Linked DNA regions of Caenorhabditis elegans. The protein of the gene in region 1 purifies or fractionates together with the protein of each later gene. This does not show direct contact. Each region holds a gene or a part of one and is shown on either strand. Other genes may lie near its edges. The genes, in order: C35E7.11 and faah-5.

The links.
Region 2: the proteins of C35E7.11 (region 1) and faah-5 fractionate together in Caenorhabditis elegans (co-fractionation; one large-scale study listed by BioGRID). This does not show direct contact.

Annotation. Positions count from the first base shown.
Region 1 is NC_003279.8:10,842,782-10,846,664, reverse strand, and holds C35E7.11 (Glutamic acid-rich protein-like), read right to left. Parts: upstream 1,894-3,883; 5' UTR 1,878-1,893; coding exon 1,808-1,877; intron 1,766-1,807; coding exon 1,688-1,765; intron 1,287-1,687; coding exon 1,045-1,286; 3' UTR 693-1,044; downstream 1-692. Other genes in the region: C35E7.2 (Reverse transcriptase domain-containing protein), read right to left, coding at 2,285-2,397, 2,443-2,502, 2,808-3,542, 3,836-3,883.
Region 2 is NC_003281.10:11,885,819-11,893,339, forward strand, and holds faah-5 (Amidase domain-containing protein), read right to left. Parts: upstream 5,618-7,521; coding exon 5,510-5,617; intron 4,774-5,509; coding exon 4,578-4,773; intron 4,525-4,577; coding exon 4,405-4,524; intron 3,372-4,404; coding exon 3,286-3,371; intron 3,234-3,285; coding exon 2,520-3,233; intron 1,517-2,519; coding exon 1,198-1,516; intron 1,087-1,197; coding exon 698-1,086; 3' UTR 667-697; downstream 1-666. Other genes in the region: Y56A3A.41 (RRM domain-containing protein), read right to left, coding at 6,354-6,690, 6,743-6,947, 7,127-7,154.

The DNA.
Region 1 (3,883 bases):
TTTTGTGCAAATTATATTATACAGGAAGATAATCTTGGAGTAGCGAAAATTGGGTTGATGCTCTACTAAGAAAAAATATGGGTTTTTTTGACATGTGGAAATTTTGGTTTAAAACAAGGTCTGAAAAGTTTCAGCAGACTGCTCATAAGGCAATTTTTAATTTCGGAGTAAAATAATTTAGCTGACATTGAGGGCAAAAAGTAATTCCTATTTACGTAAACAGAGATAAAGACTGATAAAGGAAAAATAAAAGAATAAAACATGAGAAAGGGGCCTTCGACCAAACAATAGAAACAATTGAAGACTGAATGACTACATTTTGTGTTTCCAGATTGTTGTGCGCTCTCGGACGCTGGAAAATATTCCAATAATTAGAGACACAATAGGAAATTGAGAGACATTGATGTCTAGAGTAAATATTGATTGGTTTTTTATGGGTGGAGTCTGGAGGGAGTGCATTAACGATGTAGATGGGAAGGAATGTATTTTGATCGATCGGAAAGTTTACGATTCTTTATTTTTGGTACATCTCTATCTCTTCACGATATTCTCCTTTTACAACAGTCTACCATTTGAGACATCGCCTCCTCTTACAGCACCTGTTATAGTGTGACAATATGTAAGAAAGTCCTCTTGTCAATTGACCTAATATTCTAGACATCTAATGATCTCAAGAACATATCGAATGTAGGTTAGCCAATATCTAGTTTATTTAAATTTTAACTCCAGAACAACCAAAAAAGCTATAGAAATCGACATTTGAAGTGTAAAAATGAGGGAAAAATGGTTTAGAATAAAAAAAGAACTGTTTGCGAGACGTTGAAAACTGTGAGCTATTTGAAAATAATAAACAAAAAGCGAGCAAACTGAGCTTTTTGCTTGAGCTTGAGCTAAAAAAAAAGGTCCAGAAAAAACAAACAAACATTTTTTGAGATTTTACGATTCATACGCTAATATGATGATAGATGAGATCTTGAGAATAAATGGAAAGATCTAGTGGTATTTGATTATAATTATAAAGAGAATCTTTAGACAATTTAAAATCTACTCCTCGTCATTTTCTTCCTCATCAGCCTCTTCTTCTTCTTCTTCCGGCTCATTTGGTTGCTCCTCACTCTCGGCAACTTGCTCATCTTGAGCTTCAACTTCAGTGGAACCCTTTTCCTCAACAACGGATCCTCCATTGGCTTTCTTGAGCTCTTCCTCGTCGTACGTGTCGTCTTCAATGAGCTGATGAACTTCTTCAAAGGATGGCTTCACCTTCTTTGGTGGTGGAACTTCGATAACTGAAATTTTATGCTGATATAAAAATATATGTTGTCTGTATTTCTTGATTTTTCATTGAAAATTAGACGATTATAATTATTTTATGAGATATTATAGTAAAAATATATCAACAAAAAATTTTGTCAGAATTTTCTAAAACTCGCCAAACATATTTTTTGAGTAATATTTCAATAAAATAAATTGAAAACTAATTCGAAAACATTGGCGACGTCTTGCAAATAACAGAAGAATGTCGTATATTTTAGTTCAACATAGAAAAATTTCGGTAAAAACTGAAATCACTCAAAAACTAAACGGATGAACTTTTTGAAAATTTACCAAAAATAATTTCCAGTTTGTTCTAATAAATTTAAATGCATTCCGAGTTTGTCTGCAATTTAAATATTCAAACTATACTAACCATCATCGTCGCCTTCTTTCCCCTCAGCCTCTTCAGCGACCCGCTTTCTAGTCTCCATCGACTTTTCGGAGGAACCTTCTGAAAAAAAAATTATCAGGGTTTCAGATAAATTTTCCTCACCCTCACTGAATGGGCACTCGACTTCCGGAGATCTTGGCGGAGAATCTGGAACTTCGACGATCTCGGACATGGCTGGTTTGCAGTTGCTAAAAATGCTTGAAAATTTAGTTTAAAAAAAAATAAATTAAAAGTGAAAAGTAAAAAGCAGAGATTATAAACTCTTTAAATAAGTTTAATTTAGTTTCCCGGGGTTATTTCCCAGTTGTATAACTTTTTATAGCAGGACGAAAAAGCAGGAAATTCAAGTGAAACTAGGATACTATGAAAGGAAAGGTAGCTGGAAACGTACAGTAAAAATGGGGTTTCTATGTGTAATTGAGGATATGGAATCGTTTTGTCACAGATTTCCATATGAAAACCAGAAAATTGGGGATGAGAACACAGGAAGAAGATAAGAAAAAACATGCACAATTGAAATCAAAAGATATAGGAATTTCAATTTTTGAGAGTAGTTTGATTGAGTTTTGGGGTAAAAAACTATTGAACGCGGTTTTTGAGTGACTCGACAAGAACTTTCATTTCTCGATCCACGTCCTCATCATCATCATCAGCTTCTGAAAATTCGTCCACATCATTGCCGTTCTCGTCGCCTGAAACTTGAGAATTAAACTGAGATTTATCATTTCAATTCTCACTCTCTGATTCTTCGTCTGGTTCAAGGAAGTGCAGCTTTTTCGGCTTTTTGAAAGTAGTGTCTGGAAATATAGGGGCTTATACTTTTCTGGCGAGCTTATTTTCTTGGTAGCTAACGCGCTTCTAATCTTTTTTCGCCGTTATTTTTTGAGCGCTAAATGCCTTTTGATAGTTCCAAATTTGATTTCTGTCCTGTTTGAAGATCAAAAGCTTCAAGCTCAAAGCATCAAGGATCCCTTAGAGATCGTATAGTCGTCTGCACGTGATTATACTTATACAAATTTCTGCGACAGAAGGTTGAGAGTGTGCGAGAAAAAGCTTGCGGGGTGCTCTAGAAAGTTGAAAATGTCTGACAGAAACAACGTACCTTCCAAACCAGACAATTGTGTCCTTACATCGGAAACTTCTTCTCTAAGCTTATCAAACCGATCATTCGATTTTTTCAGCATTTCCTTTTTATCAGTTGAACTTGGAATTCGGGGTGAAGGTGGGATCACTCTGTTATACTTTTTAGGACCTTCTGTGAGACGTCTTTCTCTTCTTGGTGCGATTCCTCTTTGCGCGAGTATGAGCTCTGCGATGCTTTGCATTGAGTTGGCTGTCATTTGAGGAGCATTTGGAGCATGAGGTGCTTGCTGTGGAAAGGTTGAAGGCATCGGATGAATCGGGTACGGAAACATGCTTGCGGCACTGTTAGGCGGCTGTTGTAGTTGTGATGAGTGTAGACTGCAAACTGCATTTCCAATGCTTCGAATTTCATTGGCCATATGCTGCATTTGTCCATTTTGCATAGCTTGCTCATGCTGCAGACCTGATATTTGTCTAAGCAAGTCTGATATCGTGTGATTGAAATATTCCACTGGAACATAATGAGGTTGGGCAACACGGTGAGTCATTTGTGGGTGTGGTGGTGCGGTAAACTGTTCCTTTGGTTTTTCAAAATCGATTATCTGCTTGAACAAGTTGTCCTCCATATTACACAATTTTTGGAAAACTTTCAGCTCAATATCATCAAAATCCTCCTGTGCATCTTCATATTCGGAATTCTTTTTGTAAGTCGGGTGGTAATCCGGATGCATTTGATTGCGTAGAGTAGGTTTTCCTTAAAAATATTCATTGCGACTTTTGAAGCCAATTTCTTGCTCAAGATTTATCAGAAAATGTTCAGTTGGTTCAGAAATTGGCTACAAATATAAATATTTAGCAAATTAGTTGCATCGAAATAGTACTAAACGAATATGTTTGAAGCAGATGTTCAGATTTTTAGATTTGAAAATTAATTATTTTTACTCAAATTTTTAATAGTTCTACGGGGCTTCTATGGTAGACTGAAAAACAATTAGCTTAACCAAATTTTCTACTCTACTCTACATTGTGATCAGTTCAATTGATTACCTTTATCAGACTCAAGCCATGCGTCTGTAGGACGCACGTTGTTCTCAC
Region 2 (7,521 bases), on another chromosome or scaffold:
CACCTTTAAATTTAAGCATTTTCAAACAAACAGTTACCTTTGGTGGTTAAACCAATTAATTTGTAAAGAACATTTTCGTGATATTTTCATTTGTTTGAACTACATAAATTAATACTTTAACAAGCTTGTTGTCAGGCCCATTATGGCAGTTTTATTGGGTTTCAAAGATTTATTGCCTTAAAATGGGGTACTTTGTCATATCAGTTAGCATATTTTTAAAAAAACTGGAAAAAAATCGTGGAAATACACCATTAATATGTCGTAGTTCGACTGATCTACTATAAAATATAACTATTCCTGCTGAATATTCGTATTTTCAACCATTTTCTGAAGCGCAAGTCTTTAATTTCTACGTATAGGCCAGAACAAGCGGGCTCCGCGGAGTTTCAACATGAAATCTGAAAAAGAAACCTTGAATAATAGGAATTGTATACTATTTTACTCGCATTTTTAACGATTATAGTTTATTTCACCCTAAAATGACAGGTTAATATGTACGTCAAGGTGTCTCATTTCGACTTGATCTACGTTGATCTACAAAAAATGCAGCAGAGTTCACGACTGATTTCGCATGATTAAGAACGTGCTGACGTCACATTTTTTGGGCGAAAAATTCCCGCATTTTTTGTAGATCAAATCGTAATGGGACAGCATGGCACCACGTGGGTTATAAGAGGAAATACGAAGCAATTAAATATTATTTCTTTGGAGCAATCTTCTTCTCGAATCTCTCAAAACACTCGAAACTATCCCCATTCGTCCAAATCGTCTGATTCTCCGACTTCCACCTCAACACCTGAACTCCTTCACTGATCTCCTCAACGATTCTCATCACTTTCAAACACATTTCCTCTTGATTCGGAAGTGCTACGATTTGAACAGAATTTGGCATTCCACTCGTCTCTTTTATTGCTGCTGCCTGAAGTTTTAGCACAAAATCCCCGTTTGTCTCGAATTTATCGTTTTCTTTTTCACGGACTGGAGCTACTGGGACAACGGCGGACGGGCAGTCGAGCATGTTGAATAGACCAGTTATGAAGGCTCCAGTTGTAAGAAGGACCGGATATTTGAATGGTTGGGCAGGGGCTGAAAATTTAACGAATCTAGCAGGTTCCTCGCCGTTTGATCTCCAGAAAATCCGTAATTTTTGAGATCAAACTGCTAGGAACGTTCTCTGCATTCACTTTAAATACTTACTGATAAACGAGGGACAAATCAACGCATCGATGCCTAATCCCTTCCAATATCGAATCCACTTCATTTTGTACGAATCCGTTTTCTCCTGATTCTGCCGAACACACGCCGGATCCGAATTGTACGCCTTGCCAAGACACAGCACCTGTTTTGATTTGAGCGGAGTGTATTGGGCGAGTGGAAGTAAGACGTGTTGGGCGAGCCAACGAATCACGAATACTTGTTTGTAACGGACGAGCCGAATGAAGTGGGACATGTAGCGATCGTATGGCTCGCTGCCGTACATTTCAGACATGTACTCTCCGTTGTCAGGCATCACGTTCTGGGGAATGAGCTGTTGGAAGGTTATAGGCTTTTGGCTTTTGACTCATGTGCTGAACAGCAATTCGCCAATTTCGGAAATTTTCATTTTGGGCAAATTGCCGATTTGCCGTTTGCCGAACATCAATTTGCCGGAAATTATTAGAGGGATTTTTTATTATTATTTAGGAGCATTCATAGGATGCATAAAGTTTTGCAGATTAAGATTGAAATTGTGAAACTTCCAGAAAAAACTCCGCAAATCGGCAAAATGCTGGAATTGGAAATTTCCGGCAAATCGGCAAATCGGGAAATTTGCCTATTTGCCGGAAAAAACGCAAAACCACAATTTGCCAATAAATTTTCGGCAATTGCCTTTTTTTCGGCATATTCACAAATCGGGAAATTTCGCCAATTTGCCGGAAATTTTCAATTCCGGCAATTTGCCGATTTGCCGGAAATATCCAATTTCGGCAATTTGCCGATTTGCCGGAAAATTTTCAATTCTGGCAATTTGCCGATTTGCCGGAAATTTCCAATTCTGGCAATTTGCCGATTGGCCGGAAATTTCCGATTCCGGCAATTTGCCAATTTGCCGAAAATTTTCAATTTTGCCGATTTGCCGGAAATTTTCAATTCCGGCAATTTGCCCGATTTGCCGGAAACGCTCAGTTCCGGAAATTTGCCAATTTGCCTATTTGCTGGAAATTTTCAATTCCGACAATGCGCCGGTTGCGGATTTGCCGGAAATTTTCATTTTGGGCAAATTGCCGATTTGCCGTTTGCCGGATATTAATTTGCCGGAACTAGAGAAGAAATTCCGCCACATCGGCAAACCGGCAAATCGGTAAATTTTCCGATTTTCAATTCCAACAATTTGCCGATTTGCCGGAAAAAATCGTTTGCCGCTCACCCCGGCGTTCGGCAAAAAAAGACTCAAGCTGAAATCAAGACTAAAACTTCTGATACCGGGAGTCGGGCCAGTAAACCGGCAGACTATTGACTATCATAACTTCATAACTTACTCTGAATAACATATCGGCCACAGCGTGTGAATGAAACTTTGTATCAATATCATTCACTTTAAATTCCTTAACTTCATAACCCAATTCCTTCAGCTTCCCAATAGTTTCCTCAACTGCTCGCTGATTCGATGGAGACACTGAACAGAATCCATCATCTACAAACCATCCTATAACCGGCTTCCGCTTATCATCCGAACTAGTGTCTAATAACGGGGACAATGAAGAATACGGTGACATTTGTTGATATTCCGGCTTCCCAATGACCAGCCTCAACAGGTATTCCTGATCTTCCACATTTCGAGTAAAGAATCCACAGCTGTAACCAAGCCGTCCACGTCCAGGAAGCCCGGGGTGCATCTCACTCTCGTGAAGTCGATCTTGAGTAGGCTTCAACGACACCAGCCCGCAAAATGCTGCAGGGATCCGAAGACTTCCCACCAGATCGTTGCCAATTCCAAATACAGTACCACCGGCTGCAAGTAGAGCAGCCTCTCCACCAGACGATCCACCAGGAGTACGAGAAAAGTCCCACGGGTTCTTGGTAGTTCCATAGACTGGATTAGAAGTGATATAGGATAAAAGTCCCTGTGGAAGGTTTGTCAAGCAGAAAGGGATGGCTCCTTGATTCTTGAGAAATTTGACGAGCGAGCACGTGGTGGTCTCCCGTTGCTCGAGAAGGCTTGCCAGTCCGACGGTAGCCTCGTAGCCAGTCACCTAGAATATAAGCTAGGTTGCTAAGATCTTAAAACAAGTTAGAATCCCTCACATAGAAATTGCTCTTCACAGAAAACGGAATTCCAAATAGCGGGGGTTTCGGTTGCTCACGATATTCATCGTCAAGTCTTGCAGCATCTGAAACACGAATTTAAATTCTTTATTACCTTTTGACCTCCAAAAATTGCGTCAGACAAATGTGTCTAAGTTTCCCGCAATTTTTGGAGGTCAAATGGCAAGGGGTCCTCAGCGTCGAAAGCGCATAAAGTTGCTGGCGCATTTGGCGCGACTTTGAAAAATCCAGATTTTTCTTCTAATTTTGACTTATAGCACGTAACGTGATGCCAGGCTTACGGTTTGATCTACAAAAAATGCGGGAATTTTTTCGCCTAAAAAAATGTGACGTCGGCACGTTCTTAACCATGCGAAATCAGTGGAGAACTCTGCCGCATTTTTTGTAGATCAACGTAGATCAAACCGAAAAGAGACATTCTGACACCACGTGGCACGTGGAGTCAGAGAGTTCCATTTCGCTTTGATCTACGGAAAATGCGATGCGGGAACTGAGAGGTAGGCATCTCAACTGGTTTCGCATGGTTAAGAGTGTGCTGACGTCACATTTTTTCTGGTAGAAAATTCCCGCATTTTTTGTAGATCAAACCGCAATGAGACTTTCTGAAACCACGTGTTATAGCAAATGTGTTCGCAAGTTTAGAACTACAATTCTGTGCATCTAAAATTTTCTGAGAATGCGTAACATACCTGACGAGCAAAATATCTCGTAGCGAAAACTGCAGTAATTCTTTAAATGGCTACTGTAGAGCTTTAGAGCTTGTGTCGATTTACGGGTCGATAAGTGGTCTACACAAGCGCTACTGTAGCCAATTAAAGGATTACTGTAGTTTTCGCTACGAGATATGTTGCGCGTCAAATATGTTGTGCAATACGCATTCTAAGAATTATGTGTTCCCCGTGATCACGTGGTTCCAGGCTGCCCACTTGCTGTTTGATCTACAAAAAATGCGGGATTTTTTGCCCAAAAAAATGTGACGTCAGCACGTTCTTAACCATACGAAATCAGTTGAGAACTCTGCCGCATTTTTTGTAGATCAACGTAGATCACGCCAAAATAAGACACTCTAGCACCACGTTGAAACTATTTGCTTCATACCTGTAAAAGCTTCCTTAATAACTTCAGTGATGCAATTGATCTTCCGATTTATCTTTATTGCTCTCCAGACATACGCACTCAGCACTGTGTAAGCGTTGAACTTTTCGGATTGAAGCGCCTCTTAAAAAATTGGGAATTGGGCTTTAAAGTTTAAATTTCCCCTTACAAGTTACCTCTCAAAGTGGGAAAATCCATAGCAAGTACTGTCTGAAACGTTTTCTCAATCTCATCAGCATTCTCTTTCGATCCATTAATCCGTTCACTGTGCAAAAGTTTCGATGGAAGAGTTCTGTTCTCAAAGTCCGTGAATGCGTCGGCTTGGCGGACACGGAAGTTTCGGATTTTACGATTTCGCGATGGTTTTCGGCACTAAAAGTATAATGTTTAACGGCAAAATCGGAATTTCCAAAGCGAAGCTCGCCTAAAGGTCAGGCAGGTAGGCGCACGTGGTGCCAGAGTGTCTCATTTCGGCTTGATCTACGTAGATCTACAAAAAATGCGGCAGAGTTCTCAACTGATTTTGCATGATTAAGAACGTGCTGACGTCAAATTTTTCTGGGCAAAAAATCCAGCTTTTTTGTAGATCAAACCGTAATGGGGCAGCGGTTTAACTTTTGCCATTATTTTCGAAAGTGTCAATAATTTACGTGTCGAAAATGGATTTTCTACATTATTTCAAAAGAAACATCGTGAAAACCTACAGAAAAGCACATTTTAAAAACAAAAAAAATAAGGGAATCGTTTAAATTTCCAGTTGCGATTTTACAAAGGAATTCTCTCAGTTTTTCCGTAAAAAATGAAATAATTAAGCATTTTTATGCTTGTACCACAATTCAACTTGCGCGTCAAATATGGTGCAACCAACTCAATGCATCACATTTTACGCGCAAGTTTAAAAAACCACAGAACAGCACGTGGTGCCAGGCTGTCCCATCACGGTTTGATCTACAAAAAATGCGGGAATTTTTCGCCTAAAAAACAGTGACGTCAGCACGTTCTTAACCATGCTAAATCAGTTGAGTAGCCTGTGTCTCGATTCCCGCATTTTTTGTAGATCACAACGAAATGGGACATTCTGACATCACAAAACAGTCGATACGCTCACCTTTTCCAAAAGAACTTTTGGAATTGCATACATAATAAGAAATGGAATACTTGCTAGATAAAATATGAATACTAAAAACCCGACGAACACTTTTGCAAGGCAACTCATCACTTTTTCAGTCAGAGTTTTTTTTTCCGGAAAAACAGCAGATTATATATTATAGATGGGGGATTTATTATGAATGGGGAACTAATGTGTTATTCGAGTGGGCAATTGTAGGTACGATTTTGTGTTAATTCCTTGGAAATGGGAAGAGAGATTCGGTTCCTTGTGAGAAAATATGTAGGAGAATATGAGGCTAGATTAATAATTTATTAGTCAAAACAATGACAGCAATAACAGTTCTCTGTGCATAAAATTTCAGTGATGGGTCCTGACACATTTTAGCTACCGTGCCCTTATTTCCTTGCGAAATGGTCTCGCCACGATCTCTGTTATCCGCCACACCACGATATTACACAGTTGCGCAATTTCAGACAGGTATTATGGGAGCGCAAAAATTCTGAGAATACGTACTGCACAACATATTTGACGCGCAAAATATCTAGTAGCGAAAAGAAAACTACAGTAATCCTTTAAATGACTACTGTTGTGACGATTTACGGGCAGCAATTAAAATTTGAGCAAAAATAAAAAGAAAATTCATTTCAAAAATCGAGCCCGTAAATCGACACTACAGTAGTCATTTAAAGGATTACTGTAGTTTTATTTTCGCTACTAGATATTTTGCGCGTCAAATATGTTGTGCAGTACGTATTCTCAGAATATTGCGTTTCCGTAATATTTTGAGTTGAAGCAGTTTATGCGTCTTTAAGTACTGAAAACTGTAGTTTTTTGTGAGAAATTATTTTAATTCGAATTTATTTAAGCAAAGTTTAGCAAAAATAAGCGAAATTCCGGCAAAAAAAATTATTGACTTTTGGAATTTTTTCTCGCTAAAGGGTTTCACAATTGCGATCAGCTTACGCCCATCCCATTCGAATTCATTGGCATTTTCAGCGAAATCAGCCGCACTGTGGTGGTCGTCGAAAGTGAGCTTGGCCGTAAGGCATGGAGACTTTACGGTGCTCATACAAATGCCAAAAAACTTGCCCAATCCCACGCATTGAGGGAACAACTTGGGGAATGACACATCTTCGGGAATGTTTCCGAGAATGATTGTGGCAGCTCCATCTGACTTTCTGAAAAAAAAACAATGAAATGCCTCTAATTTTTTGTAGAAATTAGACTTACTCGTTGCCAAATTTCGCAATGAGTAGAAGCGCGTGTGCGTGACCAACACATTTTCCGATTTTCACAAATTCTTCGCGATTCTTTTTATACTTATCCACATCCATCTTCAATTCATCGAGAACAAACAAGATTTCATTTTTAATGAAATCGACGGGAGACCAATCACGAGCTAGAGCCTTTTCGAGAAGCTCCGAGTAAGCTGCCACTGAAATAAACAGTTTGTATAAAATAATTGCTCCGCAGGCTAAATATTCTTTGCTTAAAGAATATTAGGCCTGTGGAACAAGTGTGAGATCAATTTGAGGATGATTTTCTTTGCTTAAAATTATAAAATGACTGATAGCATCTCAAATTCAAAAGTTTTGTCGATTTTATTTGACTTACATTTAATCTTATCCTCCATTTTGGACATGGAAAATGAAGAAAATTAGGACGAGAATAGAAAATTTTAATGAGAATTGATTGATGAAATTTTCGTTGCGAGACCTTTTCATTTTTTGCAAACGCGCTCCACTGGACGCTGGACGCTGCAAACGCGCTCCGCTGGAATTTAAGCGCCGAACATCGATTTTTTAAACATTTTATCGATGTTTTGCTATTTTAACTGGTGAAAATTGTTGAAAATACTTGAAGAAAGGCGAGAAAAATGTGGTTTTTGAATTTGGTGCAAAAATAATCTCAAAATTTACATAGTAATCATCATAATTTTAGCAATTAATACTTCCCGGTTTTGTTTTATATGAAAATATCGTTAAAGTCAAGCAAAAATGCATTATCTT